Pelodiscus sinensis: one gene and its partners. The protein of the gene in region 4 interacts with the protein of the main gene of each other region in a pairwise test. Links are inferred from orthologs where the notes say so. Each region holds a gene or a part of one and is shown on either strand. Other genes may lie near its edges. The genes, in order: endosome-associated-trafficking regulator 1-like, AP1B1, MTF1 and AP1M1.

What was found.
Region 1: the proteins of AP1M1 (region 4) and endosome-associated-trafficking regulator 1-like interact in binary tests that used the Homo sapiens proteins (3 or more experiments, as listed by UniProt). The two-hybrid records come from large-scale screens. The link is inferred for Pelodiscus sinensis from reciprocal best matches to the Homo sapiens genes AP1M1 and ENTR1.
Region 2: the proteins of AP1M1 (region 4) and AP1B1 interact in a two-hybrid assay, tested with the Homo sapiens proteins (2 studies listed by BioGRID, with this or other methods). The link is inferred for Pelodiscus sinensis from reciprocal best matches to the Homo sapiens genes AP1M1 and AP1B1.
Region 3: the proteins of AP1M1 (region 4) and MTF1 interact in binary tests that used the Homo sapiens proteins (3 or more experiments, as listed by UniProt). The two-hybrid records come from large-scale screens. The link is inferred for Pelodiscus sinensis from reciprocal best matches to the Homo sapiens genes AP1M1 and MTF1.

Annotation. Positions count from the first base shown.
Region 1 is NC_134711.1:91,806,109-91,813,715, reverse strand, and holds endosome-associated-trafficking regulator 1-like, read right to left. Parts: upstream 3,004-7,607; 5' UTR 1,756-3,003; coding exon 604-1,755; 3' UTR 425-603; downstream 1-424. UniProt on the Homo sapiens protein: Endosome-associated protein that plays a role in membrane receptor sorting, cytokinesis and ciliogenesis. Involved in the endosome-to-plasma membrane trafficking and recycling of SNX27-retromer-dependent cargo proteins, such as GLUT1.
Region 2 is NC_134725.1:5,452,881-5,460,173, forward strand, and holds the start of AP1B1 (AP-1 complex subunit beta-1), read left to right. Parts: upstream 1-4,289; 5' UTR 4,290-4,385; intron 4,386-7,293. UniProt on the Homo sapiens protein: Subunit of clathrin-associated adaptor protein complex 1 that plays a role in protein sorting in the late-Golgi/trans-Golgi network (TGN) and/or endosomes.
Region 3 is NC_134735.1:10,618,862-10,626,546, forward strand, and holds the start of MTF1 (metal regulatory transcription factor 1), read right to left. Parts: upstream 3,014-7,685; 5' UTR 2,887-3,013; exon of another isoform or gene 2,817-2,886; intron 2,747-2,816; exon of another isoform or gene 1,792-2,746; intron 1,662-1,791; 5' UTR 1,611-1,661; coding exon 1,200-1,610; intron 1-1,199. UniProt on the Homo sapiens protein: Zinc-dependent transcriptional regulator of cellular adaption to conditions of exposure to heavy metals. Binds to metal responsive elements (MRE) in promoters and activates the transcription of metallothionein genes like metallothionein-2/MT2A.
Region 4 is NC_134729.1:31,353,859-31,361,530, reverse strand, and holds the start of AP1M1 (AP-1 complex subunit mu-1), read left to right. Parts: upstream 1-4,665; 5' UTR 4,666-4,809; coding exon 4,810-4,851; intron 4,852-5,221; exon of another isoform or gene 5,222-5,244; intron 5,245-6,583; coding exon 6,584-6,740; intron 6,741-7,195; coding exon 7,196-7,263; intron 7,264-7,672. UniProt on the Homo sapiens protein: Subunit of clathrin-associated adaptor protein complex 1 that plays a role in protein sorting in the trans-Golgi network (TGN) and endosomes.

The DNA of each region.
Region 1 (7,607 bases), on a different chromosome or scaffold from region 4:
TCAAGTGCTGAGAGGATATAAAGAGCTTTCCCTTTGTTGTAACCCAGTGCAAAAGTGCCCAGAACTTGGTTCTTTGCATTCCCCAAGCCACCAATGGGGCATGGGAACGGGAGGAGGATCAGGTGAGATACATGGAGAACTGAGGCCCAGCCAGGTAGGAGTGTAAACTTCTGTCTGGTAAAGAGTAACAACCCCTTCTGGTGTACTCTGTCCCAGCTCCCATGAAAGAGCTCTGGTTGAGTCAGCCAGGACATCTGCAGGGCCTCCTGCTGGTACAGAGCCCCAGTGCAACCCCTGTCCCAATGTGGGCTCAGGTTTACTATAGCCCAAAGCCAGCAAAATATCTTGACACAAAACCTCCGACAAGGGCAGGACAAAGAATTAATTCTCCCAGCATGTGAGCACCCGCGGCCAACACCTCATTAGCACATGGAATTCATATTTAATTACAATAAAAGTACTTCTGGAAGGGATAAAGGCCACCTATTTGAAGACATGCAATGTTTCAGCATATGACAGCAAACATTTTCAGTCCTGACCGCTGTCTGGGAACAGTTTGATCTCAGGCCAGACACTCACAGGTGGATGTGCCTAAGTGCTTTTTCATTCATCATCTTCCTTTTTGATTTCAGAAATCTTGTCTATGGATTTGAGGAGGTCAGCCACAAAATGCAGCATTTCCGCTCCCGAGACCAGCTGTTTGATTGACAAGTGCGCATTGGCTATAACCCGGCAGAGATTCTGCAAGGCAACATCTACATTTTGTTTCACTGCCCCCAGGCTGGCAGATTGGCCTGTGCGCAGAGTGTCATTCTCTGTCTTGGAACTCTCCAACTCCACCTGGAGAAGGGACATTTCCTGCTTCAGCTTTGCAATCTTATTTTCTGCCTTCATGGCCCTCTGGGTCATCAACTGCAGATTCCGTTCTGCCTGCTGGACAATGGATTCTAAACCCTGAGCCTCTTTCTCCTCTTTGACCACGCTGGCTCTCAGTCTTCTCTCAAGGTTTCTCACCAAGCGTGTCTGATTTTCTGAGAAGCTCTGGATACTTTTGATCTTCCTTCTGAGCATGGAATTCTCCTCTCTGAGCTCTTCGTAGCTCAGCTGCAGAGATGGATACTCCCTGTCTCCTATGGAATCTTCCCGAAGAGCACAATTCTCAGGCGCCTTGTCATGAGCTGTGCAGGAAACATACAAGTTGCTAGGATGGCAGCAGGGAGCAAATGTCTCAATTTCAAACTCTTGGGCTGTGGTGTGATATAAAGAATCATGTGGACTACATGGTCCCATGGAGGCAAACCTGGACTTGTGGACTCTTTCAGCAGCAGGGTGGTGATAACTCCCACTCCAGTCATCATCCTCATCCTCTGATAAGGTACCAGCCATTGGTAGGTCTTTGTAAAATGGCTCCTGAAATTCCAAGCTCAAGCCCAATGCTTCTGGAGATAAGGAATCATCTTCGAGGCCTAGGTTGTGTCTGGCCAGTTTCTTTGCAAACATTCTATTTTTCAACTCTTCCTCCTTTGCGATGCCACGAGTCTTCGTTTTTACAAATCCCTTTAAGGAACATGGAATAGCTCCATCTGGATCTTCCAGGTGATGGTCCCCTGAACTGATGGGGCTCTTAGTATGGGCTGGAGGAGGTGGAGGGAGATGGGGGTAACAGCATATGGGTTCCTCCTCCTCCTCGTTATCTAGGCTTTGGGACTGTGGACAGGCCCTCTCCAATGTCCCTGAGAGAAGGGGTCGTGGCATTTTTGAGGGGCTGTGGGCCTCCAAATGAAATAGCAGTCTGCAAATTAGCTCAAGCACTGGGTAGAGCCCTTCTCTGACAGGACTGCCTGTGCTGCCCACTTTTGTGCCATCCTCTGGAGCAGCTGTCTTAGCCTCAGCACCATTCGAAGTGCAGCAGTGGGTTACAGAAGTATCTGTACTTAAATCATCGCCATGTGTGCATGTGCCTGTGGCTTTAATAATGGAGGGAGCAGAAGTCACCTAGGTCTGTGATGTCATCAGACAAGTGCATTTCATGTTGTGACTTCGCAGCCAGGGGAAAGAGAAACAGCCAGACCAACGTTCACAGCATTTCAGCCAATGAGGCTAAACTATACAAATAACTGTCAAGAATATGAAAAGCCGGGTCACCTGTGATAGCCCCGTTCCGTACCCTGGGACTCGATGCCATGGGGTTGTTCATTAACAGACTTGACTGTGTGCGCGCGTGTGTGTTAGAACCCAGGAACTGACGCAGGCTCAGGACAAGAACAGCAAAGCCATCTGGGATCTGGGCAGTGGGAATAAGGTTGGGGAAGGATTCAGAGGAGGAGCCTTAAGGTAAAGGGGATCATGTCTAATGGGCAGAACCAAAGGTCAGCCCAGGGATCAGGGCAGAAGGATCTCATGGCAGGAAGATAAGGTCACTGAAGACTACACAACATGGGGATTTAGGCCAGCAGGACTGGTTGTAAGGCATGAGATGAGGATGATCATGGCAAAGGAATAAGGCCACAAAGATGAGGAGGGACGTTCATGGGAGGAGAGGATTGAGGCGAGGGGAAGCATTTGGAGCTGATTTTAATAAAAACATGCACTGTGTCAAAATGGGCATTATCGGCTATATGATAATATGATCATTTACCAATATCACTTATCAGCTACGTGACACATGAGGAGGAGAAGAAAATAGCAGAAGGAGCCAAATGGTTCCCCAGAGACAAAATAAAACACATTTAATTTCTAACGGCCTTATAGCTACACACAACCATCGAACTGCAGTCATCTCTTGTAGGGCAGGTGGGACGATGGCAGCCAACTGGGGCGCGAGGCACTGCACCACAGGGAAGGAGAGGGCATAATGCCTGAGAGAGTGTTTCCCAAATGGTGTTCCACGAAACCCCGGGATTCCGTGAGTGAAAATAAGGGCTCCGCGAGAAAATTCCGTTACAATAACATTTTATGATTAAAAAAAAATAATAATATTATGTGATTTTTGTTTTTAAATATGTGCAATTAAACTAAATGTTGATCTCATGACCTTGTTTAGCATTTGTTTATTATTATCCTTACTTAGTTGTGGTCTACTTTTTCAGCTCCATATATTAGACTGTTAGGGGTTCCACAACATTCTTTCGAGTTTAAAAGGGTTCCGTGGCCAAATAAAATTGGGAAACACTGGCCTGAGGGCACAGGCGCACAAGTCTGCTCATGCAAAAAGTGCCCAGGGGTTTACTGCCCATGGAGAGAGAGGAAGCAGGAAGCATAGGGACTGGTGCCTGTGGGGAAGGGGTACAAGGAGGGCCACACAGAGGAACAGGGAGGGGGCATTAGGAGGTATCCCATTATGATTTTGACAAGGGCCAAGGGAGGCAGAGCACCTCGCAAGTGCTACCACGAGTCGCCTATGACAGGAAGGTCTCATCTAAAACACCTCTGGCCCCAGTTTAATTACCTCCAAAGGATGAAGGGCTGACTCTAGGATTCAACCCAATGGTTCTGGAGGGAAAAATAATGGTGATTTACATACCTGATGCCTCTGAGAAAAACAGTGACCTCCGCTCTGCTAGTAGGGGTCACAGACTATGCTGCTTGAAGATGATCATCTTAAGCCTCTGAGGGCTACAGGAGTACAAGCCCCACACTGAGCATCGCTCTTGTAACTCACCCTATATGTGCTATCCGCTGGGTATGAACCCTAGATCTTCAGGACCTATAAGCCTGGTCTGCTGCCATGTGATTGCCACAGCTACAGGACTGACTCCCCACATTTAGCTGACCCACTGACCTCACACATGTGCCATCCACCAGAGGGAAACAAAGACTCCATGTGTGGGTTACACTTAAACCACTAAGCCACCCTGTCTTGTCCTGATTTCATCCACGGCCTAAACCCCCCTCACATACTCTCTTCCAGCCCCCCAAGTTAATTCTCTCCCTCCTAGGTCTTGCATTTGGGGGTGATAAATAATGTAACAGATCTGTGGCCAGCAAGGATTTCCTGGTTGCCATTTTGCTATGCACTTCAGCTATGCCTGTGCAAGGAAACTTCCTTACCGTAATTTACCACTGGTGCACCACCCTCTATGACTGCAGTGGTGACAGCACAAGCGTGTAAAAGGCACAGATATTTTTACCGCTGTGTTGTCTAATCCTACTCTGAACCCTATAGTACAAAGCACTCCTGCCAGTGCTACTATTGCTGGAGCTGCCCGGCTGGTGAAATACAGATATAGAATTTGAACATGTGGAAAAGACCTGTGGTTCTTTGGACCATCACAGAAAAATGGGCATAGAACTATGGAACTGCACATAGAACTCAGATCCCATCATCTTAATTATTTGTTTAATAAATGAACTGGAAAAAGGAGTAAACAAAGAGGTGGCAAAGTGTGCTAGTATACAAAACTACTCAAGATAATTAAATCCAAAGCAGAGGGTAAAGAATTACAAAGATCTCTCATAAAACTTGGTGACTGGGCGACAAACTGGCAGATGAAATTCAATGTTGATATGCAAAAAAATTAACTCCGGAAAATATAACCCCAGTTATACATACAAAATGATGGGATCTAAATTAGCTGCTACCACTCCAAAAAGAGATCTTGGAGTCATTGTGGATGGTTCTCTGAAACCATCTGCTTAGTGTGCAGTGACAGACAAATAGCTAACAGAATGTTCGGATCTATTAGGAAAGGGATAGAAAATAAGTTTGTAAATATCATAATGCCACTTTATAAATCCATGGTACACCTCCCACTTTGTATAATGCAGGCAAGTCTGATTTGCCCAATCTCAAAAAAGATAGTTTAGAAATAGAAAAGGTGCAGAGGAGGGGAAAAAAAATTAAGGGTATGGAACAGCCTCCAGGTATGGAGATATTAAAAAGTCTGGGACTGTTCGACTTGGAAAAGGGACAATTAAGAGGAGATATGCTAGAGGTCTGTAAAATCATGAATGGTACGGAGAAAGTGAAAGTATTCTTACCCCTTCACATAACACAAGAAAGCAAGAACACCCAATACAATGAATAGGCAGCAGATTTAAAACAAAAGAAAATACTTTTTTGCATAGGCAACCTGTGGAACTCATTGCTAGGGACTGCTGTGAAGGGCAAAACTATAACTGGGTTCAAAAAAGAATTAGATAAATTCATGGAGGACAGGTCCATCAACAGCTATTAGCCAAGATGGTCAGGGATGCTTTGGATGTCTATAGGCCTCTGAATGCCAGGAGCTGAGACTGAATGACATGGGATGACTGAGCTCAATCAATAATTGCCCTGTTGTGTTCATTCCTTCTGAAGCACCGGCACAGGCCATTGTTAGAAGACAGAATACTGGGCTAGCTGGATCATTGATCTGACCTGGTATGGCTATTTTTGTGTTATGTTGTTCTTATGCATCTCGACAATACGCGGAGGTCCCATTGTGCTACATGCTGTACAAACACGAATGAAGACAGAGCCCCTACCTCAAACATCTTACAATCTGAGAAGAAACATGACAGGTGGAAGGTGAGCGGAGGAAGGAAGCTGCAATCAACTGTGCACTATTTTTGCACATGCACGTATGCCTTTTCGTTCCATAATTATAAATAGATGCCAGCAAACCCCATCTGCCCTCCAAGCCTTCATTAATTGACTGATTTCGTTAGGCATCCCATTCTCTGGTGCCCAAAATGGGATTTTATTGACAGACCTTTGCCTGGTTTGTATTTTGGGGTAGCGTGAGGGGGAACTCTTTTCCTTGAAGCCCTGGGGATGGAGATGGGGGGATATGAAAACAAAACAAAATGATTTGAAGTGAAACCAGCGCAGTGTGTGTGACTCAGAGCTATTCATAGCTCCCTGAAGCCAGCTGCAGCAACAGAGCCAGAAGGGCTCTGCCCGTATTATTATTCCAATTACCATCTGAATTAAAAGTTTGAGCAGTGATCAGCCCACATACTGAAGGGAGGGAGGGAGAGAGGGGAAGAAAATACAGCTAGAGAGGGACGCACACAAAGTCAGAGGGAAAGATGCAAAAAGGTTAAAGCAGCTTAGCCACCTCTGGCTTTTGCCAGCTCCCACGCCTCTTCCCTCCCCTCACCCTGCCCCGCCCTGACACGCACAACCCATGTTAATTGAGGCACCATTTGCATGGGTCATGCAAAGATCATGCTGAGAATAACTAGACACATACTCCAGTGTTCCCTGTGACTCTTTGCGGAGAGGAGAAGCAATAGGTGATGGCTGAGAGAGGGAATGTGGCAGGTGTTGGGGCAGATGTTAACTTGCTAATGGCTTCCAAAACTGGGGGAGAGAGAGCAAGCGAAACATCGAGGTAGGCTAGGATCTGGAGAGACAGATGAGATGGGGAGAAAGAGATGGAGAGAAAGAAATAGAGAAAGGAGCAGAAGTGCAAAGAGAGAGAGAGAGAGAAAGTTTTGAAGACAGAGAAGGGGGAAAGGGAAGAATAAAGGGCTTTGTCTCAGACCCCTGTTGCACAATGCATGCTTGACTAGAAGGGTGCAAGTAACCGTCAGTCATCTCTAGAAGAGTGACCCAAGAGATGCACTGTCCTGTGTGCCTAGCATGCGTGAGGGGCACAGGCCCAAATGCCATTCAGCTGCACCACTGTGCCCGCTAACATCCATGCAGAAAGAGTCACATTTGACAGACCCAGTAGTGCCATGGCTCGATCGCTTTTTAAAGCACGAAACGGAATTCACATTGTGGGGGTAAAATTGGTGCGCATAGTCTTCTAAAAATGGGCACCTTACCTAGGTCAGTTCCTTTATTTGGCACCTTCCCCTCCAAAAGCAACTTAAAAATAGAATTAAGTTAAAACGGTTCAAGAGAATTTTAAGTTGCACCTTCTCTGTGCCACACACAGGAGAAATTGTTATTGCCCTTTCTTAGTTGTATTTTGGGAGTGCTTAGAGGCTAGGGTTAGTCTTCCAGGCACTGGGCAACCCTACAAAGACACAGGACCAATCCTGAAGACTTTACAATCTAAGGTTGCCACTGGCTCATGGGTTCTTGAGGGACTCTGAGCATTGCTTGGATAGTCCATTGACAGATGGAAAATAAGCACATTTGTGATGTGACAGTGATATTGAAAGCATATTAAGGATTAGCACCACTGCTGGTAGAGCTCAGAATTGACTTCAATGAAGCTCTTTCTATTTACATCAGTGAAGGATCGGGCACTGTATCTTAAAGATATTCAAATGCTTACAAGAGGCTACTCTCTGGCTGACCATAGTAATTCCAAGGGCCTGTAGAAATAGCCTTTTGAAGCTTAACAATCATTAGGGCCACTTTTTGTCTGTCTTGTCTACTTAGATTGTGAACTTTTGAGTGGGGCAGCAGGAAGTGTCACTCTGTGTGTACAGAGCACTTAGCATAACAGAACCCCGACCACTGGTCATTTATTACTAATAAATACGTTTCTTGGTTGGGAAATTTGCAAAAAGGACATTCATCTCATTGTTCCATGCTGCTAGGAAAGGATTCCTTCTCTCCTTGGCAGTCATGGTTTGCACTTGCTTTAGATTAGGGATGTTAGTGAGTAGTAGACTAGTCAACTACCCGATAAGCCTAAATTTATCAGGTAGTCGAGTGGAGTATC
Region 2 (7,293 bases), on a different chromosome or scaffold from region 4:
CCTTCCTTTGGTTTGTTTGAAACCTGCTGCCTATCCATTTCATTGGGTGACCCCTCATTCTTATATGATGGGAACAAGTCCAGAACCTTTCCTTATTCACTTTCTCCACACCAGTCATGAGTTTATAGACCCCCCCATCATAGTCCATGTAGTCTCCTCTTTTCCAAGCTAAAAAGTCCCCGTCTTGTTTCTCTCTCTTCATATGAGACCTGTTCCAAACCCCTCATCATTCTGTTGCCCTTGTCTGAACCTTTTCCAATGCCAAGAGATCTTTTGGAGATGAGGCGACCACATCTGCACGCCGTATTCAAGCTGTGGGAGGCCTATGGGTTTACATAGAGGCAATAAGGTATTTTCTGTCTTATTCTCAATCCCTAGTGAGTCCTGTAACTACACCAGCACCTTCTGAAACTGACCTTGGGGCGGGCAATGCCTGTGAAATGGCTTCACCACCACAAGGAATGGCAATGGTTGTCCAGGGGCCCGGCCAGGCCGCTCCCTCTGGGGCCCCTGGCATTGGCCACTGTGGGCAGACAGGACCCTGGGCTTGATGGACCTTTGGTCTGACCCCGTCTGGCTGCTCTGATGTTAAATAAATTGGGACTCAAGGGGGTCCCAGCTCTTCCACCGCTGCATTTTCCAGGCTAAGCGTCCAACAGTGCGGCATAGAGGCGCCTGACCCTGCGGCACGTGGGGCTGCCTGAAGGAGTGCTGCCCGGTCTATCCACCAGATCGTACCCTTCTGGCCAGGGGGAGGACAAGGACTCTTACCCTCACAAAGGGCTTTCCAGCAGCATCCCTAGGGGTGCAGTTTTCCAAACGGCAGTGAAGTCAGCGACGGCAGGGCAGCAGCCCCTTCCTTTGCACATCCCTGCCCCGGTCCCAGAGGGGGCCCTGCAGAAGAACAAAGAAAAGGGTCACGTGAAAGAGTGTTGGGATTGAAAGTTTAAGCATAACAAGAGCTTGGCTCCTTTTGGCCCCTGCAATGCCTAGAAGCCAGCTCTGCTCTTCGCCGGCCTTGGGGCGAAGGGAGGGGGAAGGGGAGAGAATCTTGATATACCCAAAAGGGAGGCAGCACCTTTGGCTGCATGGATGCAAAGAACTACCTAGTTCTTATGAAAAACAGACATGAGGGGTCTGAGCAGGAGGCAGGGGAGGAGGGGCTGGAGAAAGGGCTGAGCATGGGGCACTTCAAGGGGGCTGAGGAGGGCAGGGGGAAGGGGCAGAGGGGTTCCCTGCTGACCCCGAAGGACTGGCCCTGGACTCCGACAGTGGAACCCGCATGAGTGGGGTGGCCGAAGGTGCAGCCCTAAGCCCCAAGGCCAACCCCGAGGGTCCGTGCCCCTGGGTCTGATGATATGGCCAGAGGATCCAAAAAGGCCATTGGGCAGGCAGCTGTCACTGTGGGGGCCGAGTCTGTGATGGAGACAGACTGGCCTTCCTTGAGTGGCACTGCGAGCAGGATCAGTGCTGGGACCGGTGCGGAGACCTTGACCAGCGTCACTTTGAGGAGCCGTCTGAAGATGCCCTAGATGTCATCAACTCCATGTGCGACTGAGGAGCACTCGGATGTGGACCACGGCAGTGCTGCAGAAGCTGCCTGCTCCCAGTGCTGGCAGTGGTGTGGCATGGCCGCCGGTTTCCCTCAGTGCGCCGGTGCCGAAGGGGGCAGTCACACGCTCCGGTGCTGAAAGCATCGGTGCCGGGAGGGCTGCACTCTGTACCAGCCCCGGTTCCTCTGTGCCATCACTACAGACGGTGCCGGACCAGACTTCCACACCGGTAGAGGAGGAAGTGGCACCATCCTGTCCCTGTCGCTCCTGGCCCCTCCGCACCACACAGCGTCGGGCCCAGGGAAGATGTAAGTTCAATCTATTCCCGGGCCGCCAGAAACAAATCCGGGGTTGACGGCTGTGGGACCCCTCAGGGCTACTCGCCTGCGCGGGACTCGACCTGTACCGATGGTGCGCGGGAGCGGCAATGGAGCCTCGGGGCGTCCCCCTCGCAGACGCAGCCCCGACCCGTCTCGAAGGTGATCTCCCTCTTCGTGCCTTCTTTGAGCGCTCGGTGCTGGGGACCGTGTGTCGCCCCAACGCACAGAGTGCCTCGACATGGACCCATGCCCCATGCCGGCCCGGGCGCTCCTCAGACGCTGGCTGCGGTGCCGCGGGTTAAAGCGCTGAAGTAACCTGAGTCTGGCGTCGCTCTCGTTTAGTCCTTGGTTGGAAGGTCTTGCAGACCCTGCGGGAGTCCGTTCGATGACCTGCGCCGAGGCGCTTCAAGCTCTCCTCGGGGGTCTCCGCAGGCATCGGGTCAGGCACCGCACGGCGTGAAGCCCTGGGCCCGGGGGGGGGGAAGGGAACTGCCTAGGGACTGCGCAAATCCACACAGGAGCCTCCCCGACACGCCTGTGGGACAGTACGGACACCGGTCAGAAGGGCTCGGTGGGCTCCTGGGGCGAGAGGAGCAAGGGGGGACAAGGGGGGGCGGGCTGGGGGGGCGCTGACCTGCCGGCGCCGCTCGGGGGGGGCTGGGGGGGGCGCTGACCTGCCGGCGCCGCTCGGGGGGGGGGCGGGGGGGGCGCTGACCTGCCGGCGCCGCTCGGAGGGAGGGCCGGGGGGGGGGGGGCGCTGACCTGCCGGCGCCGCTCGGGGGGGGCGCTGACCTGCCGGCGCCGCTCGGGGGGGCCGGGGGGGCGCTGACCTGCCGGCGCCGCTCGGGGGGGGGCGGGGGGGGGGGGCGCTGACCTGCCGGCGCCGCTCGGGGGGGGCGGGGGGGGCGCGCTGACCTGCCGGCGCCGCTCGGGGGGGGGCGCTGACCTGCCGGCGCCGCTCGGGGAGAGGGCCGGGGGGGGGGGCGCTGACCTGCCGGCGCCGCTCGGGGGGGGGGGGGGCGCTGACCTGCCGGCGCCGCTCGGGGGGGGCCGGGGGGGGCGCTGACCTGCCGGCGCCGCTCGGGGGGGCCGGGGGGGGCGCTGACCTGCCGGCGCCGCTCGGGGGGGGGCCGGGGGGGGGGGCGCGCTGACCTGCCGGCGCCGCTCGGGGGGGGGGCCGGGGGGGGCGCTGACCTGCCGGCGCCGCTCGGGGGGGGCCCTGGGGGGGGCGCTGACCTGCCGGCGCCGCTCGGGGGGGGCGCCGGGGGGGGCGCTGACCTGCCGGCGCCGCTCGGGGGGGGCCCTGGGGGGGGCGCTGACCTGCCGGCGCCGCTCGGGGGGGGGCCCTGGGGGGGGCGCTGACCTGCCGGCGCCGCTCGGGGGGGGCGCTGACCTGCCGGCGCCGCTCGGGGGGGGGCCCTGGGGGGGGCGCTGACCTGCCGGCGCCGCTCGGGGGGGGCCCGGGGGGGGGGCGCTGACCTGCCGGCGCCGCTCGGGGGGGGCCCTGGGGGGGGGGCGCTGACCTGCCGGCACCGCTCGGGGGGGCCCTGGGGGGGGGCGCTGACCTGCCGGCGCCGCTCGGGGGGGGGCCCTGGGGGGGGCGTTGACCTGCCGGCGCCGCTCGGGGGGGGCCGGGGGGGGCGCTGACCTGCCGGCGCCGCTCGGGGGGGGCCCTGGGGGGGGCGCTGACCTGCCGGCGCCGCTCGGGGGGGGCGCTGACCTGCCGGCGCCGCTCGGGGGGGGCCCTGGGGGGGGCGCTGACCTGCCGGCGCCGCTCGGGGGGGGCCGGGGGGGGGGGCGCTGACCTGCCGGCGCCGTTCGGGGGGGGCCCTGGGGGGGGCGCTGACCTGCCGGCGCCGCTCGGGGGGGGCCCGGGGGGGGGGCGCTGACCTGCCGGCGCCGCTCGGGGGGGGCCCTGGGGGGGGCGCTGACCTGCCGGCGCCGCTCGGGGGGGGCCCTGGGGGGGGCGCTGACCTGCCGGCGCCGTTCGGGGGGGGGGGGCGCTGACCTGCCGGCGCCGCTCGGGGGGGGGGGGGCGCTGACCTGCCGGCGCCGCTCGGGGGGGGGGGGTCCGGGGGGGGGGCGCTTCTCCCGCAAGCAAGGGCCCGGGCGGGGGGGGGCAGCCGGATCCCGCGCGGGGCCCTGCACGTGACGAGCAGCCGCGGCCGGGCCCGCGCGCCCAACGGCCGGGGCAGAGAACGCGCCGCCCCCAGCCACGCGCAGCGCAGCGCCCCGCCCCCTCTCGGCTGGGAGAGAGGCCCGACCGTTCAGCCCCCGCCCCTCCTCACTTGCCCGCCCGCGCGCGCTCCTGCCCCACGTGACGCCCCGCCCCTCCTCACCTGCCCGCCCGCGCGCGCTCCTGCCCCACGTGACGCCCCGCCCCTCCTCACCTGCCTGCCCGCGCGCTCCTACCCCACGTGACACCCCGCCCCTGCCCCGGAAGTGCTCCCCGCCCGGGCGCTCACTTCCGCGGGGCCGCTGGAGGCGCAGGCAGCGCAGGGAGCCGCGAGCGGTAGGTGGGGGGGCCCCGATCCCGGCCGCACGCGCCGAGCCGAGCCGTCCTCGGGCCAGTGCTGCCCCCGGGGGCTCGCCCGAGCGGCTGCGGCTCCTTCGCTTTCCCGCTCCCGGCGCCGCGCTGCGGGGGCTGCGGGGCCGGTGGGTCGGGGCTGCCTGGGCGACAGGCGGCGACTCCCCGTCCGGGCAGGGCCGCATCGATCCGCCTCCTGCGGTCACATCTGCGGGCGAGCCGTGCGCTCCTGCGCGGCCTCTCCGGCTTTGCTGCAGCGCAGGCTGCCCCGCCTCCCCCTGCAGGTGTCTCCCGGCGGCGGGGCCGGAGGCTACTGCTGCGACTAGGGATGTAAAATCCCATGGGTTAAACACTATCCAGTGCCCCTGCCCAAGCTTGCTGAGGAGGGGGGCTGCCCCACCTCCTGGCCACGGCCCCACCGGGCTTGAGCAATTCCCTGCTTGCTCCTGCCCCTGCCTGTTATCCATAGCCGGTAAGTATCCCCCAGTGAGGGCGATGCTTACTGGTTAACTGGTTATATCCCCAGCTGTGAGCCCTGCTCTCTGCAGGGTTTGGGGGCTTCTTTCCCCATTCCCACTTGTGCTTTTCTGAGGACTCAGGCCACCCCCTTCTCAACAGCTTCCCAGAGCTGAGGGCAGAGCAGCTGGTGGATTTGGGGAGCTTGATCGTTACGGGAAGGACTGTGTCAGTGGAAAAACTGGTGTCTGGGCACGCGAGACTCCATGCTCATGTTGGAGAGGGCTAGACTTGTCCCGTGTAGAAATCCGTTGACCTCAGCTGGGCTTCTTGGGGTATAAATGTGGCTTATAGGCTGCTTTCTCACAGCTGCTGTGGTGGGCTCTGCATGCCACTGGAACATGGCACTCGCTACCTGCCTTACTCCAGCAGCAGAGGCATGGGCTGCAAAGTTGCCAGTCGGCAAAGCGCTGGTTTGGGAGAGGAAGTGCCCTGTGTGTATGTTCTGTGGCAGCTAACGCTACTGAAGAGTTGGTGATGGCAGAAAACTGGCACACTCCGGCTCAGCTAGTGGAACTGCCTGCTAGAGGTGTATGTTCTAGGGATGTTAAATTGCAGTTACTCAACTACAGTAGTTGATGGAATTTCCATGAACTACTCGATTAGTTGATGAAGGGGGAAACTGCAGAGCTGCAGTGGGACCCCTCTACAGCTCTGCCTTTTAGATGTATATTAAGTGCCGGATGCATTTAAAAGGCAGAGCTGCAGCAAGGGGAACCAGGCGAGAGCCGGGACAGCTGATTCCTGGTCCCCATGCTACGCCTCTGCCTCCCCTGCCCCCCAGGCAGCAAGGGTGGTGGAAGCGACTAGTTGAGTCTCTGCATGCTTATCAGGTAGTCGACTAGTTGCTTACATCCCTAGTACGTTCTGCTGTGGCTGGGCTCCTCCCCTGCTCACCTTCTAGGATTCCGACAGCTCGTCGGATGCGGGTCAGATGTAACTTGATTTCGCTGCCACCCAGAGGCGTGCATAGCAGCACGGTCTAGGGCAGCTGTTCCTTGATCTGAGGGCTGGCTGGGCTTGCCTCCTCTGGCTGATGGGTTCAGTGGTGCTTTAGAGACCACTGCGCTGTGGTGCCTGCCCTTTACCTTGTCTCTGAATGCCTGGAGGTCGGTGAGGCCTAGGAGACCCTACTGTTTGTATTGGAGTCCCGGTGTGCTAGATGCTGCCCACACACAGTAAGTACTACAGTCCCTTCCCCAGAAAGCTTATGGTCTATGCAGATAAATCGAAGGATTGCAAGGGAAACTGAGGCACCGAGCTTTACTGTGACTTGCTGCAGGTCAGGGGCAGAGTCAGCATTCCACTGTGAGTGTTCCACTTGTTCTCACTAGTGTGCTAGAAGCGGCTTTCCAAGCGGTCTAATCGCCATGTTTGTGACTTCAGACCATCTTGCTTGTCCTCAGATGCTCACTTCTCTCTGCCTCTCCTCTCTCTCTGGAAAGTCAGCACTGTCGTCATTAAAAGCTCAACATCGTCCACCGTAAGCTCTGTTAACCCTCTGCCCCAAACAGCCAGGCTGTTATTCAGCAGAGTTCCTAGAGTGAAACCTGAGCTTGTGGTTTGTGGCTCCCACCTGACTTGTGGTTTCTGGTTTGTGAGCAACACAAACCTCTGCAGCCTAGAGTCACAGAGCACCGAGTTCCCTGCTGCTGTCAGGGCCACCACGGCGCAGGCTCAGCAGGAGCTCTCGCAGCTTGGGATGGCAGTCGATTGTTAAAGAAACTGTAACCGGGCACTGGAGTTGGGGCAGGGCTTCTCATTTGCCTCTGGGGTAGAAGGAGCCCTGGAATCTCAGGGTCACTGGCTTCTTTCCATCATTCAACTTGACTCCCAGAATTCCTGGCTTCACATTCTAGCCTGCTCAAGTAGCCGGGACCAAGTCTCGGGTCACAGCCATGTTGTCAGGGTTGAGGCTTGGCTGCTTACAGCCTTGTCCAGGTGTTCTGGAGAGGAGAACAGAGTTCCACTAAAATGAGTTGCTTTAAAGTTTGGTATCCGTCTGTTTCCTTATAATGCGCACGTGTGGCCCCCTTCTGTGACGTAGTGGGGGTACTTGCTGGGCTGTGGTGACCCCTGCTGTCTGGAGCAAGACCCAGCAGGGAAAACCTCACTATGCAAAGGTGATGCCAAACTGGTTGAACCAGATACCCCCCATGGAGAGGAACAAAGGAAGGTGAAGGCTGCCCTGGCTGGGGGGGCAGGGCTGGAGGAGAGTGAGTTTAGTTGGTGTCTGGGAGCATGGAGGAGACAGCCTAGGGAAAGGGACTGGAGTTTAGGGGTCCAGTCTCCCCCATCTCAAGGGGGCCTGAGGCATCCTAGCCCAGCTCTGTGACCAGATTCCATCTGTGCTGTGCTGTATCCTGGAGAGGCAATA
Region 3 (7,685 bases), on a different chromosome or scaffold from region 4:
AGTGCGGGTCCCAGCAGACCCGTCACAGGGGTATAATCCCCTTCCCCTCTTCTCCCCTTCCCTTCCCTTTACCAGCTGTGAGCGCCCATAGGGCTCACAGCAGCTCCAACTGTCCAGAGCACTTCCGGGTTCCAGTTGGTGCTAGACTATCAGGAGTGCCGGACCACTGGATGCCGGACAATTGGAGTTTTACTGTACAATGGTAATAGTACCATAACTAGGGTTATGTCAAGCTTCTGTTTTAAATCAGTGTGGCTGATGAAGGTTTAATATTTTAGAAGTTTTAAATCACATTGGGATGGAATTTCACACTTAATTGGGATGCAGAATTTTTCCTAAACCAAACTTGGTACAGCCACAGGAACAGGGAAGTCTGAACATGGGGCAGGAGCATGGTAGAGGGGACCAGCGCCTCAGCTGGAAGCCCAGCACGTGGGAGGGGAGAGCATGGTGAGTAGTTCTAGCCCCAGAAGCCATGGAGCTCCAGCCACAGCCAGGGAGCTGCAACCCCAATGGCAGCCATGGAGCTCCTGCTCCACCCCGGCTGGAGTCCCAGCTACAGAGCCAAGCAGCTGCGGAGCTCCAGCTGTGTTGCTCTGGTCCCGGCAATAGTGGAGCTGACAGCAGCTAGAAAGCCCCAGGGAGCTGGGGCAGCAGTGGGGCCAGGCTGGAGCCCTAGTCCAGTGGCAGCAAGGGCAACAAGAAGAGGGACCTCCCCTGGTCCAGCAAATCCCCTCATTCAGGACCAGTTAGGTCCTGAGGGTGCTGGACAAGGGAGGTCCAAACTGTATTATCATGGTCCCTATTTGCCACAGCTGTCACCTTTTATCCTATAATTAACAGTAACTGCACTGTCATGAAGCATACTGAGTTTCTTTTCACACAGTTGCGGTTACATAATAAGGCATATGGTCTAAGTGAGAGCAGGAGAGCCTGAAACATTCTTAACTCTGGTTGACTCACTGTGTGATCCTGAGTAACTTGTGTAGGTAAGTATCTAAGTACAGAACCTACTGTGCAGTTAAACCTAATGGCTAAGATTTTCAAAACAGTGATGTTGATTTAGGCATATGCTTTCCTTCAATGTGCAGCTAAATACCAACTTGGAAAAAAAATCAACTAATATCTGTGAAGTGCTTTGAGATCACCAGATAATCAGCTCTCAAGGGCAAGTTTTACAATTATAGTTGGTCACTTACTTCTTTACGCTTGGTCTCTGGGCACTCAGATTGCAAAGTGAGAGTAGCTCCTTCGATATTTCTTGGCATGGGAGTTGAACCAGGATTTATAGTCAAATGAATCTGATCTGGAGAAATAATATGTTGAACATAACCCTGGGACATTCCTTCATGATCTTCTATTAAATGAAATCCTTCATGACCCTCTGGTAAAAAAGGCAAGTGATCTCCACATTGTCCTTCATCCTCATCATCTTCTAATGTCCCATGGTCTTGTTCAATTAGAACAGTTGTCCTGTCATAAATTGTCCCAGATGATGAAGGAATTAGACCATTTTTATCAATAAACCTCATCATTTTATCATCTTGGATCAGTTCGTCTTCGTCCCCATCATAGTAGTGAATGCTGTCTTCGGGAGTATTTTCCCCCATGGTTTAATGGAACTTAGTGCAGCATCATGAAATTAAAATGTAACAACTCACCTGTAACAGAGTAGCATAAGTGTAAGAATATCATAATATTTAGACAAGGACTTTTCACCTAAACTCTCAAGGGTGCAAACTAACACGTTTACATTTCTTCTCCCCATTAATTCACTTCCAGAAACCTTACCTTGCTTTCAGAAAAGTAGTGCAGGAAAGTTTTTATTCAGGTGACACAAGAAAATACTTTCAAAGGTGCTCCAAGTCCGCTAAAATACATATGGTATGCGACCTGAAAAAGGGGCCTACAGTTCTTTCAGATTTAGAAGAAACATCCCTCCACTGCGATTGGGGCTTTTCTAGCGAAGTTTATGAAAAGTCACCTGCAAATTACTGTATATTGCCAGAGGTTAATCAGCTGTCTTGAACTGATAAAAAACGAGCAGGAATCTCTTTGGGAGAGGACCGCCTTATTGAAGGGTGGTCAAATATTGGAATAAATTGCCAAGGGAGGTGGTGGAATCTCCCTCTCTGGAGATATTTAAGAACAGGTTAGATAGACATCTGTCAGGGATGGTGTAGACGGAGCTTGGTCCTGCCTTGAGGGCGGGGGGCTGGACTCGATGACCTCTCGAGGTCCCTTCCAGTCCTATGATTCTATGAGCTGTGCCCAGGAACGCTCACGATACCGTTCTAGGTGTGGTGTTGGTCTATAAAGTGCGACCAGACTATGGGTTGTTTTTTAAGCACGCACAGTACCTGGTGCCCCCCATTCCCCGAGCGGGGGGCTCCGCACAGCGCAGCCCGTCCCAACTCCCGAGCCAGAGACAGTCCCCCGCAGCACGTTACCCTCACAGGGCTGCTCCCGGGCGTGTCATCGAAACACGCGGAGAGCGAAGGCGCCCGGCGCCGCAGACCTCGCTCCTCAAGCGCTGGGGAGGCTGCCTCGGGCCGGCGGCGCGAGCTTCGGGCGCCCTGTCGGGGGCCGGGGAGGGGACGCACCAGGGCGGGCCGCGAGCCCCGGCAGCCGGGCAGGGAAGCGGGCGCGCGCCGGGCCCTCGCGGAGCCTGCCTGCTCCTGACAGGGCGGCGCGGGCTGAGGCCGGGCCCCGCGCTCGGCGCTGCGCACTCACGCCCCCCCCCCGCGCTGTCCGGGTCCCCCTCACGTTTGCCTCGCGCTGCAGCCCCGTGCCGGGCCCCCGGGCGGCTGGCTCACCCGAGCGGGCCGGGCTCGGCCGGCGAGCCCCGCACGCGGCCCCCCAGCTCTGGCCGCGCCCCGCTCTCACCAAGCTCCCAGGAGCGGCGGCGTCGGCAACCTCCCAGCAGCACCATGATTACCCACACGCATCACTTCCGCTTCCGGCACTCGCCGAGCGCGCTAACACCCGCCCCTTCCGGCCCCCCGGCCCTGTCCCCGAGGAGGAAGTGGCACGGGGGCGGGACCTGAGAAGAAAAGGAGAGGGAGGCTGGGGGGCGGGGCCAGTTGAGAGGGCGTGGTTCGGTTGACAGCGAGGCTTCATGGAATAAGGGGCGTGGCCCAGAGAAGAGGGCGGGGCCTCATGTAACGGGGCGTGGCCAGCTGGGGCTGGCGAGTGGGGCCTGAGTGTGAGGAATAGGGAGCAATGAGGAGGGATGGATAAGACTGGGACTTTTCAGCTTGGAAAAGAGAGGAGTAAGGGGGGGCAGTGGCTGGGGTCTGTAAAACCAGGGCCGGCCCAAGGTACGGGCGAGGCGGGGTACGGCCGGGGCACCCGATTATAGGGGGCGCCACTTGGGGCTGCCGGGCCGGGCGAGGGAGGCACCGCACATGCTCCGCGCACCAGGAGTGGGGCTACAAATGCGCTGCACGCCCGGGGTGGGGGCTACGCATGCGCCATGCTCTGGGGGCAGGGAGCACCGCACACCCGGGGGCGGGGCTGTGCATGCGTCACACTCCCAGGGGCAGTGCCATGCTCCCGGGGCGCGCGAATGGTTCGGGCCTGCACTGTATAAAACATGAGGGGTGTGAACACTTGAACTAGGAAATCAATAGGCAGCAATTTTAAACCATGCAAAAGGAAGTATTTCTTTGCACAACCCAGTCAACCTGTGGAACTCCTTGCCAGAGGAGGGTTGTGAAGGACAAAACTATAACACGGCTTCAAAAAAGGACTAGATAAATTCCTGGAGTATAGGTCCATGAATGGCTATGAGCCATAAATATAGGCGGAGAGACCATCCCTAGCCTCTGGTGGCAGAAGCTAGGAATAAATTACAGGGAATGTCTACACTGGTTAGACAGGGTATGTCTACACTGCATTCCTCTTTTGAGAGAGGAATGCAAATGCAGCTGAGCGAAATTGCAAATGAAGCGCGGATTTGAATTTCCCGTGCTTCATTTGCATAATAGCATACAGGTGCTTTTTCGAAATACCTTATTTTGAAAGAAAAAGCCCAGTCTAGATGGGGTTATTTTGAGAAAAAATCATTCTTTCAAAATAACCCTTACTCGTTAAAAAATGAGATTTAAGAGTTATTTTGAAAGAATGTTTTTTTTTTTAAATAACCCCATCTAGACTGCATTTTTTTTCAAAATTGGGTATTTTGAAAAAGCGCCCAGATGCAAGAATGCAAATGAAGCATGCGAAAATCAAATCCGCGCTTCATTTGCAATTTCGCTCAGCTGCATTTGCATTCCTTTCTCAAAAGAGGAATGCAGTGTAGACATACCCTAAGTGATCACCTATTCTGTTTGTTCCCTCTAGGGCATGAGGCACCGGGCACTGGCCACTGTTAAGAATGGCCATATTGGGTCAGACCAAAGATCTGTCTGGATCAATATCCTATCTTCTATGTGTTTATGTAAATATTATGAGCCAAATTCTGCTTTCAGCTGATCCTGTATACCCCTACAGCCGTCAGCCCAAATAATTTCAGTTAGATGGTACAAGTGTTATTTATCTACATATGCTAACCCAGAATGGTTTAAAAAAAAAAGAATAAAAAGACTTTGAACTATTTTAGCTAATTAAACGTGGCAAGACAGACAGACACTGAACTTTTAATAGTACTAGCGGTAGAAATGGTTAAGGCTGGCACAGGGTGAACATAGCATACAACCACTCTACATTCCACACATGTCTGTGAAAGTGTCAACCCTCTTTTCACTTATGAGTGTGTCTCCAGGAAACTAAGGGAGCCCAATTTTCTATAGGCTCTGTAAATTCTCTTTGTTCTCCTTAGCATTGACACACAATCTGTATCCTGTGATTGAGATGCGACTTGGCAGTATTTTATGATCTAATATTAATTTTTTACTTGGTATATCATTACACTTGGTATACCATGAGGGCATCAGGTTATTCTCAGTCATTGATTTACATAATTTCCTTTCTCCAAGACCTAAAATAGCTAAGATAAAGTCTTGCTGACCTCAGCCTACAAATTTTGTATTTCAGCTTGTCTTATTCATGTCTGAGGCCATGTCTACACTACAAGATTGGGTCTAATTTATTAAGGTTGATTTATTAGTACACAGTTTTGTAAAATCAAAGGTGCATGTCCCCACTGTGCGCAAAAATTCGATGTAGTGCCTCCCCAGTAGGGTGGCGACCGTTGACTTTGACAGCAATGCGCTGTGAATAGCTATTCCATAGTTCCTGTTGTCCCTTTGCATTCTGGGTTAAGCACCCAATGCCTGATGGGGACAGAAACAATGCCCCGCATAATTCTGGGTCCATATCATCAGCCTCTCATGGTGCACTTATCTCTTCTCCTCCCCTCCCCCGCTTGCAATGGTAAACAATCTATTTGTGCACTTTTTCCCCTGGTTATCCAAGCAAATGCCATAGCAAGGCAAACATGGATCTCTGTTCAGCTGCAAGTTGCTGTGGTAATCATTGCAAACACCTTGCACCTTATGCTGTGTTATATCCAGAATGTAGCCAGGAACACTGTGAGGAAGCCATGAACACAGACACATATGAAACTCTTGAGTGGAACCATTGGCAGATGCTGGCAACTGTTGATCCTCTTGACACAGTGGAACACCACTGGTTCTGGTCCTGTGAAACAAACACAGACTGGTAGGCCATTAAGTTGTGCAGCTATGGGATGATCAGCAGTTTATTGACTAGGTGAGATGTCAGTGAAAGCAACATTCTCCTGTTGTGACAGCCTGCTCTGTGCTCCATAATATCTGTGCAATTAAGGGGGAAAATGTTATGCTGGGAAGGGGGTAGGAGGGGGAGGGGGCAAAGCAGATCACCTAGTTGCTAATTAGGAGCACCCAGGCATTGAGGAGAACATATCAAGGGGCACTGCAAATCAGAGAGGCTTTGAAAAACAGCTTTGTGAATGATCAGACAGCAATATGACAGTCAAGTATGTTGCTCTTAAAGAGGTGCCCCCTGCATTAACTAGTCGGTAAACCCTGTAACTCCTCCTTTCCTGATACAGATACTGCGGTTGAGAAATCATTCATTTGCATTTAGGGAACACAAGGAAGAAGAGACAGAAAAGGAGTTCAGGGCAGGAGCTTTGGTGGGAGGGGGAGGAAGGGCAAATGGTGTATTACAAACACAGGCATGGAAATGACAGCCTTCTGTTCTGGGAGACATCCCTGGGAGTTAGTGGAAAGCTGTCCTTACTTCCACCCTGCATTCTAGGGCACCTGGGAGGGGACGATAGGGAATTTGGTGGAAGGGGCCAAAGCTGGCCTCAGTGCCACCCGGAGCACAGCCCTGTAGGCTGCTCGGAACACACGGCACTCTGGCAGCAATTTAAAAGGTCTGGTGCTCTGGCCGTCGCAGCTGCTGTAGTAGCAGCAGCCAGGAGCCCTGAGTTCCTTTGAATTGCCAGCCCCCAGGACAACTGCTCCCTTTTGCCCCTTCTTACCATTAGCAGGGCCTGCTTGTGAACTATAGAGACCCAACCAGTCTGGCATATGCAGTCTGGGTCTGTGCAGCTTCTAAAGCAAAAGAGCAGAGGAGAGAATTTATTGGAGGATTCACTTTAACCTCCCTTCTCTGGTGCTCTGGGAGCCATTAACCAACTTTGACCTTTAGGCTTGGCGCTATTGAACTGGGGACCTGGAGCTGAAGCTGTTTCATGGTGGTGACCAGTGTTCCCTGTATCTGTGCGCTTGGGCAGCCACTCAGGAGAGATTAAGGTGCCGCCCAGCTGATTAGCAGAGTACCCAGATCACCAACATATAGAAAAATATGGTGGTGCACATTTACACATGCCTTGGTACACATAACATTTATTCTGCACACGGATGAAAAAAATTAGAGGGAACATTGGTGGTTCATTTCTGCTAGAACTAATAATGGCATTATATATAAATCCATCTTTGTTCACAGAGCCACGGATGGGCGGAGGCAGCTCCCCCAGCAAACTTTCTTGTCAGCCTTTTCTGCATGAGAATACAGCACGTACCTCTCCAAGACCTTCTCCTCCCTTTGCACTGAAACCAGCGTGTTTAACGAGGTTCATGGTAATCCCTATGCTATACACTGTGAGCACTAACTTAGCTATTCCCATGAAGATTTCATGTATTTCATGTTGAGGGGAAACTAAGTGAAGCACAGCAACATTTGAACTCATCTGCCGCCTGCATCTTTGCTCTTGGTGAAGCAAAGATGCCTGTGAGACAAGCAGTAAAGACATTAGTAAGAAAATGTTCGTCAGTTTAAAAATCCTGGCCTTGGGTGATTGATGCTAATCACCATCACTGCCAAAAGAGAATATACTGCCCTATTACAGTCAGCTGCTGTGCACCAGATTTTTCCTTGTGCATGCCACAGCTTAGCAGGCAAGTGTAACCCCGAGAATGGAAAAAGGCAAGAATATATTTCAGTGTTGGCTTGATTGTGGAAAGCAGTGATTCTCAAACTTTAGGAACTTGAGAAACTTCATTTTGATTTACATTTTTTCAGACCCCCAAATTCCCCCAACTCAACCCCAGACTGCCCCCACTCCATTCCGTCCATTAATGAAACAAAAGGAAGTACTTCTTTATATAACATTCAGTCAACCTGTGGAACTCCTTGCCAGAGGATGTTGTGAAGACCAGGACTTTAACAGGGTTCAAAAAGAGCTAGAT
Region 4 (7,672 bases):
CTTGATTAAAACAATAATTAATTATGACAATATTGGGAGCAATAGTTTAATTGTTAACATTAATCTTGGGAGTTAATAAATAGAATCATAGAGGTCCCTTCCAGTCCTACATTTCGTAGTCCACAACTTCAGTCTCCTGTGCTGTGGCAGGCAAGTAAACTTAGCCTATACCTGATAGATATTTGGCCTCACTGTTTTCAAAAACTTGCAATGGAGGGAATGCTTAACCTCCCTTGGAAGCCTGTCCCAGAATTTAACTACATGGTTAGATTTAATTAATAGCTAATCTAAATCTTTATTACTGCAGATTAAGTCCATTGCTCCTTATCCTACATTTAGTGGACACAGAGCAACTAATCATGATCCTTAAATTTGGACAGCCCTTAACAAATTTGAAGTGTGTTGTCCGGTCCCCTCTCAGTTTTTTCAAGATAAAATATGGTCATATTATTTTAACCTTTCCTCATAGGTTTGTATTCCTAAATCTTTTATCATTTGTGTTGTTATCCTCTGAACGTCCTCTTGTTTGTCCACATCTTTCCTAAATTGGAGGACACAATTGGACACAATACTCCAGCTGAGGCCTCACCATTACTGCACAGGGCTGCCAACAGGGGAGGGCAAAGGGGGAAGCTGCCCCAGTGCCCTTCAATTTAAAAGGGCCTAGGACTTAAAGCCACTACCACTGCTTCCGTGGCAGTGGCTGGAGCCCCAAACTCTTTAAGGCTATGTCTACACTGCCATTTTTGCTGGCAGTGAGTATGCAAATGAGGCATGAATTAGTATATTGTTGCACCTCATTTGCATAATTTATTCAAGGTGTTTTTGCACAAAGGGTTTTTGTGGGGAAAAAAAGTAGTGTGGATGTATTCTTTTTGCACAAAAACACCTTTTCCCACCATATCCTTATGCCCCAAAAAAATGAGGTTTACTTATCTGGCGGGAAAATGGGTTTTTGTGCGAAAAGAAAATGTCCATACTACTTTTTTTTCCCTCACAAAAACCCTTTGTGCAAAAACGCCTTGCATAAATTCTGCAAATGAGACACTGGAATGTGCTCATTTGCATACTCACTGCTGGCATAACCGGCAGTGTAGATGTTGCCTAAGTTGCTGACAGGAACTGCAGCTCCAGCAGCATGATGCCATTTGCAAATTTTATACTCCTACTCTCCACTCCATTCTCCAAGTCATTGATGAAAATATTGAATAGTACTGGATGCAGGACTGGCTCCTGTAAGGACCCCGCTAGGTATATTCTTCCACTTTGACAGCAAACCTTTGATAATTGTGCTTTGAGTGTGTTTTTTTCTCTCTCTCATAAACACTCCGTATACTATTTCCATTTAGCCTGTGTTTTCCTGGCTTGCTTATGACAATGTTATGTGGGGCCTGCCAGAGGCCTTTGTAAAACCAAGAGCTATCACATTTCCTGCTACCTCACATCTAATTGGCTATCAAATACTAGAATTGGAAGCAACCTTGAGAGGTCATTGAGTCCAGTCAAGTCCCCTGCACTTGTGGCAGGATCAAATACCTGCCTCTATACTGTTCCTGACAGTTTGTTTTACCTGCTCCTTTGGTACAGGTTTCATTTGTTAGCAGGTTGACACTAATGGATACAGTCCAGACCAAAGGGGGACAGAAATGCTCCATTGCAATATTTATTGGCCAAACTGGACAGTCTCTATGGAAAAGAATTAATAGACACAAATCAGATATCCAAAAAGGCAATACACAGAAACTTGTTGGAGAACACTTTAATCTTCCTGGACACTCATTAATGGATCTCCAAGTTGCCATTTTGTTTCAAATCAGTTCCACAAGCCAAATACACAGAGAAGGGTTGGAACTTAACTTCATTTACAAGTTTAATTCTTATGCCAAGAGTATGATCCAGGGATGTCAGATGGCTTGAACATTATCTTCCGCATCTTAATGACTTAACTAACCAACCAATGAAGAAGCTTCAGGGGATAGCCAAGTTAGTCTGTACAGGATAAACTTAAAAAACAACAAATGGTCTTAGCACTTTAGAGACTAACAAAACATGTAGACGGTATCATGAGCTTTCAGGGGCACAGCCCACTTCTTCAGATGGTCATTGTAGTAAGTTGAGGGGCAGTAACATGGAGTCAGCAGGCCTAAGGTCTGTAACATGAAAACAGCAACAGGCCTGCAATCTAGTGAGCAAGACTTTAGTTCAGTAACTTAGATACTGATAACTGTGTAATTGTGTAAGTTAGGTCACAGGGCTGCACCAAGAACAGACTGTAAACCAAAAGGGAGTAACGGAACATCTTAAGGAATGTCCTGGTACAAAAACTCCCTAAAAACTAATGCACATATCGACCTAGGTTCAGGACCAGGTCAGAATTGACAGCATGAAGGATAGTAAGTAAGCCCCCCTTCCGTAAGGTGAGGGGTGGTATCTAGGCAACAGAGTGGTAACCAGTACGTAAAGAAATGATGTAAGTTGTTTATACCTGTCTATAAAAGGACACCGCAGAGGGTGCTCTCCGGCTGAACTTGGGGGGAGGGGGCGCACTAGGCACCTGAACAGCAGGTGTCATTGCCTAAACTTACAGAGTGCACAGTAGCTTAACTTTGAATAACTGCGGTTAATATCTGATATATGGCAATAGGCCTGCCTGGTGTTGGTACCTTGTCAACGAGGGCCATAGTGCCCAGTGGTGTAACATTGTACTGATCTCTGTTACCAACTGGTAGGCTGCATCTAGACTGGCAATTTTTTCCGCAAAAGCAGCTGCTTTTGTGGAAAAACTTGCCAGCTGTCTACACTGGCTGCTTGAATTTGTGCAAGAACACTGACGATCTAATGTAAGATTGTCAGTGTTCTTGCGCGAATACTATGCTTCTCCCGTTAGGGAAAAATGTATTTGCACAAGAGGGCCAGTGTAGACAGCTAAAAAGTGTTTTGCGCAAAAAAACCCTGATGGCGAAAATGGCGATCGGGGCTTTCTTGCGCAAAACCGCGTCTAGATTGGCACGGACGCTTTTCTGCAAAAAGTGCTTTTGCGCAAAAGCGTCCGTGCCAATCTACACGCTCTTTTCTGCAAATGCTTTTAACAGAAAAACTTTTCCGTTAAAAGCATTTGCGGAAAATCGTGCCAGTCTAGACGTAGCCGTAGAGCTTTGCATTTGACAAATAAACCTGCTCGATTGATTTTAAACCTTGCCTGCATCTGTCGTTCCCTGGGCCTCTCAGAGATCTGTGTTGACCCAAGTGCACGGGGTCTAACGCTCTAGATAAAGGGAGTACCAATTGTTACGCACGCAGCCGAAAGTTTATCATCACCAACGCAGAAGAGGTCCTGTCAGGAGCGCGCCAGGACGACCCTGACCAGACGACCCTGACACTGACAGTCCAGACCACTGAAGGTACTGAGGTACGAAGACACAGAGGTACCACAGTCATCTGAAGAAGTGGGCTGTGCCTATGCAAGCTCATGATACCATCTACATGTTTTGTTAGCACTTTATAGACTAAGACTATTTGTTGTTTTTAAGTTCAACCAATGAAGGTGATGATGGTTTTTTATGTCTGTAGAATCTGGTGTTAGTCATCTTCCTTTCCAAGTACTGTACAAACTAATGGGTCTTATCAGCCTCTTGTAACTATTTAGTCTTTTAAGGTGCTATTACACTATTTGTTGTTTTTTTAGTTTTTCCTGTTACAGACTTAACTCCGCTATTCCTCTGAAGCTTATCTACTCACTGTCTCTTTTTTTCTTCCCTCTCATTTTTTTCCTTCTCTCCCTTCTTCCTTTATTTATTCTTGTATCTGGACTTCCAATACTCCTGTCATTGGAAGAAGTGGGTTGTGCCCTTGAAAGCTCATGATACCATCTACATGTTTTGTTAGTCTTTAAGATGCTATTAGACCGTTTGTTTATTTTTTTCAAAGGGGGACAGTTAGTGGCATCCAAAAGGCCAAATAAGGAGCAGAAGTGACCAAAAGCAGAGATGTGTGTGTGGGGGCAGAGATGTGTGTGTGTGTGTGTGTGTGTGTGTGTGTGTGTGTGTGTGTGTGTGTGTGTGTGTGGAGGCTTTATTGGGGCCACCCTTAAGATTTATGGGATCCTTCACACTACCATTAAAGTGAGGCTCCTATACCCGATGGCAGCTGGGTGTATGATTTTTTAGAGAGGTCATTTTCTAATCTTCAGTAACACTAATGAAAGCTAATAATAGGTCTGGCCGGCTTTTTCCGTGTTAATTAGATGCTCTCTGGAGGAAGCAGAGCCCCAGGACGGGGAGAAGAAGAGGCAGGTGGGTGGACATGAAGGGCCATGGGGTGACCCCATTTTTGGGGTGTCTTATGCAACTGCATATTCTGCACAGGGGTGAGGTCAGTGCATGCCACAAGAGGATGGGGGGAAGGGGCAGAAAAACCTGCTTCTGCCCCTAGCCTCTAAGACTCCCACAGGCCTAGGAACCAGGCCCAGGTCTGCAGGGCCATGTCCCTCCTGGGAAGAAGCCAGGCGCCAGCCTGTTCCTCCAGCTCTCTATGGGCCGCTCAGGCTAGCGCGCCGCTTTGCGTCCCCCCGGCGACGGGGACCATAGAGAGCGCGGGCCAGAAGGGCGGGGGTGCATCCGCTCCCTCAGTCGCTTCCGCCGCAGGGCGTGTTTCCGCGGGAAGGCCCCGCCCCCTTCGCTGGTGTCCCTCCGCCCTGCCAGAGGCCTCTTCCGCCCCTGCAGCTGGCCTAGCCGGTGGAGAGCGGCAGCCGGAGCGGCCGCGTTTCCGGCCAGGAGCGGGGCCGCAGCGGCGCCGAGCAGCCGGGGCGCGATGTCCGCCAGCGCCGTGTACGTGCTGGACCTGAAGGGCAAGGTGCGGAGCCGGGGCGGCCTGGCCTGGGGTTCCCGCGCTGGGCTCGGGCCCCTCCGCATCCCTAGGGGCCCGGCGGGAGGGCTCAGGCTCTGACACCCCCATGCTCCCTCCCCACCTCGCTCGGTGCGTCCCCCTCCCCCGCCTGGGGTGGGGACCCCGGTTCCTCCAGCCTGCCCTGGGGCCTCAGGCGTGCCGGGAGCCTGCCGAGAATGCTGCCTTGCTTCAGCCGGAAGCTTTGGGCTAGACTTTGTGCTGCTGATCAGCTGCAGTGGTGCAGGAAGTGCTGGTTTTGGTAGCTGGCTCCCTTCCTCCTCCCGCTCTCCCTTCTGGGGCCTTTTATCCTCTTCCTTCGTGAATAAAAACTCATGCAAGTGAAGTGGGTTTGATTTTGGGGTAAGTGAAATGGAGATCACCACTGCTTGTGGAAACTGAAGCTACAGAGACACTTTAGCTAACTTTCCATATTTCATCGTATTCCATTTTGGGGTAATTAGATTTGGGGTAATTTCCTCCAGGGTAGATTGTCAGAGACCCTGGAGGTTTTTCGCCTTCCTGTGTAGCATGGAGCACAGATCAGAGCTGGAGGATTCTCTGCATCTTGGGGTCTTCAAAGTATTTGAAGGCTTCAATATCTGAGACATAGGTGAAAGGATTATTCTAAGAGGTGTGGGTGAGATTCTGTGGCCTGCACTGTGCAGGGGGTCAGACTAGATGATCATAATGGTCCCTTCTGACCTTAAAGTCTATGAGATTCTGCATATTTAAGTACATTCTGAGGTTTTGTTCTATCATCTAAGTATATTCTGTTCCCAACATTGATATTAGGGATGTGAACGGGTAACTGGTTACCAGGTAAGCATCACACTTAGGCTACGTCTAGACTACACCTCTCTGTCGACAGAGAGATGTAGATTACGCATGTCAAAATTGCTAATGAAGCAGGCATTTAAATCTCCCGTGCTTCATTAGCATAAATATGGCTGCTGCTTTTTTTTTTTTAAAACTGAGCTTTTTCCAAAAAAAGGCAGTCTAGACGTGGATCTGTTGAAAATAAACCCGTTTTCGACAGATCCTGTAAACCTCATTTTTTGAGGAATACAGGATCTGTTGAAAAAGGGTTTATTTTCGACAGACCCTCATCTAGACGGAGCTTTTTTGAAAAAACGGCAATTTCGAGGGGGGGGGGGCGGGAGCGGTGGCCATATTTATACTAATCAAGCGCGTGTGATATTTAAATCCCTGCTTCATTAGCAGTTTCGATGTGCGTAATCTACATCTCTCTGTCAACAGAGAGGTGTAGTCTAGGCGTAGCCTTAATGGGTGATACTCTACTGGGTAATGGTTAACCATTACCTGGAAGAGGTCCGCTGGCTATTCCAACTCTGTGGGGCTGAAAGGGGGACTGTTGGCTCCCAGCCCTTGTGGGATTGTGGAGTGTGAGTTAGACTGTGTGCCCCCATTTAATCATTTACTTGTTAACTTAATGTTTAACTGGTTAACTAATTAAACATGATGTTCCATCCCTAATTGATACATGCTATTTAATAGCTGCTGAATGGATTCTAAAAGCTATGCTTAAGTTGCGAATGAAAGATTTCAATGTACAGTTTGTCATTCAGTTAGTGAAGAATTTTGGGGTTCCACTGCCTAAAAGTACTTCCCATGTGTCAGATGATAACTTCAGCATTTGTTTTTAAAACCTATTCAGATTTCTGTTGCATGTCTATTGCAGGTCCTCATCTGCCGGAATTACCGTGGAGATGTGGATATGTCTGAGGTGGAGCACTTCATGCCAATTCTTATGGAAAAAGAGGAGGAGGGAACACTTTCTCCCATTCTAGCTCATGGAGGAGTACGTTTTATGTGGATTAAACACAACAATTTATATCGTATCCTTTAAAGTGTCAAACTGTTAGTATGGTGAAACTGATGAACATGGTGGATTTTCAGAATTTGTACTTGAATGGAAGTAATAGGATAACAGGCTTACTGCTAAGAATTTTATTGATCAAGATTTACAAAGATGCAAAAAATATATAAATAGGAGTTTTTTCATGACATACCTTATTCCAGTAACGTGTATAAAAGTGTTAAAGTGCCAATTTAATATAAGTATTTCCTGAATTTTTAGTCCTCTGCCCCCAGGAGTTAAACCATCAAAAATAACATAAACCCCAGAATTTTCAATATCAAATGACTCTGGAAAGAGGAATGTCATTGCTGCTTCCTTAATATTTGGGCCAGCTGTAATAATATAGTAAATGCGTTTTGAAAATGTATTTAATTATAAGCATTTTTTAAAAAGTGTAACTTTAAACTCCAATTCCTGAACATACTTTTTCAGTTGTTGCTACTTCTAAGAAGAATGCTTGTGTCTCTCTGGTGTTTTCATTTCTTTACAAGGTGGTTCAGGTGAGTATGGAAGTGATATTTGTTCATATAACTAAACATATGTTTTATGTAGATATGGAAATCTTTTAATTATGTAGTGCTGTGCAGAAATGGCATATTTGGATTATAGGTGGTTATATAAAGATCTTTCAGTGTTCGTTTCTGATGTTTATTTTGTGCTGTACAGGACAAGGATACTGACAATCTTATAATAAACAGGCACAGAAAATGATACAACATGAAAGCTAGATTCAAATATTGTGAGCTTTGTGAGCATTGTTGAGGAAGCAGATTTTTAGGATGTATTTCATTAATACATGACTTGCTGAGCTGGACTAGGGAGCCTATATTGCAGTTTTGTGGCAGCATAGAGTTGAGAAAAGAAACTAACAACCTTTGTATTTTGGAGTGAAGGGAATCAAAGTTCTTT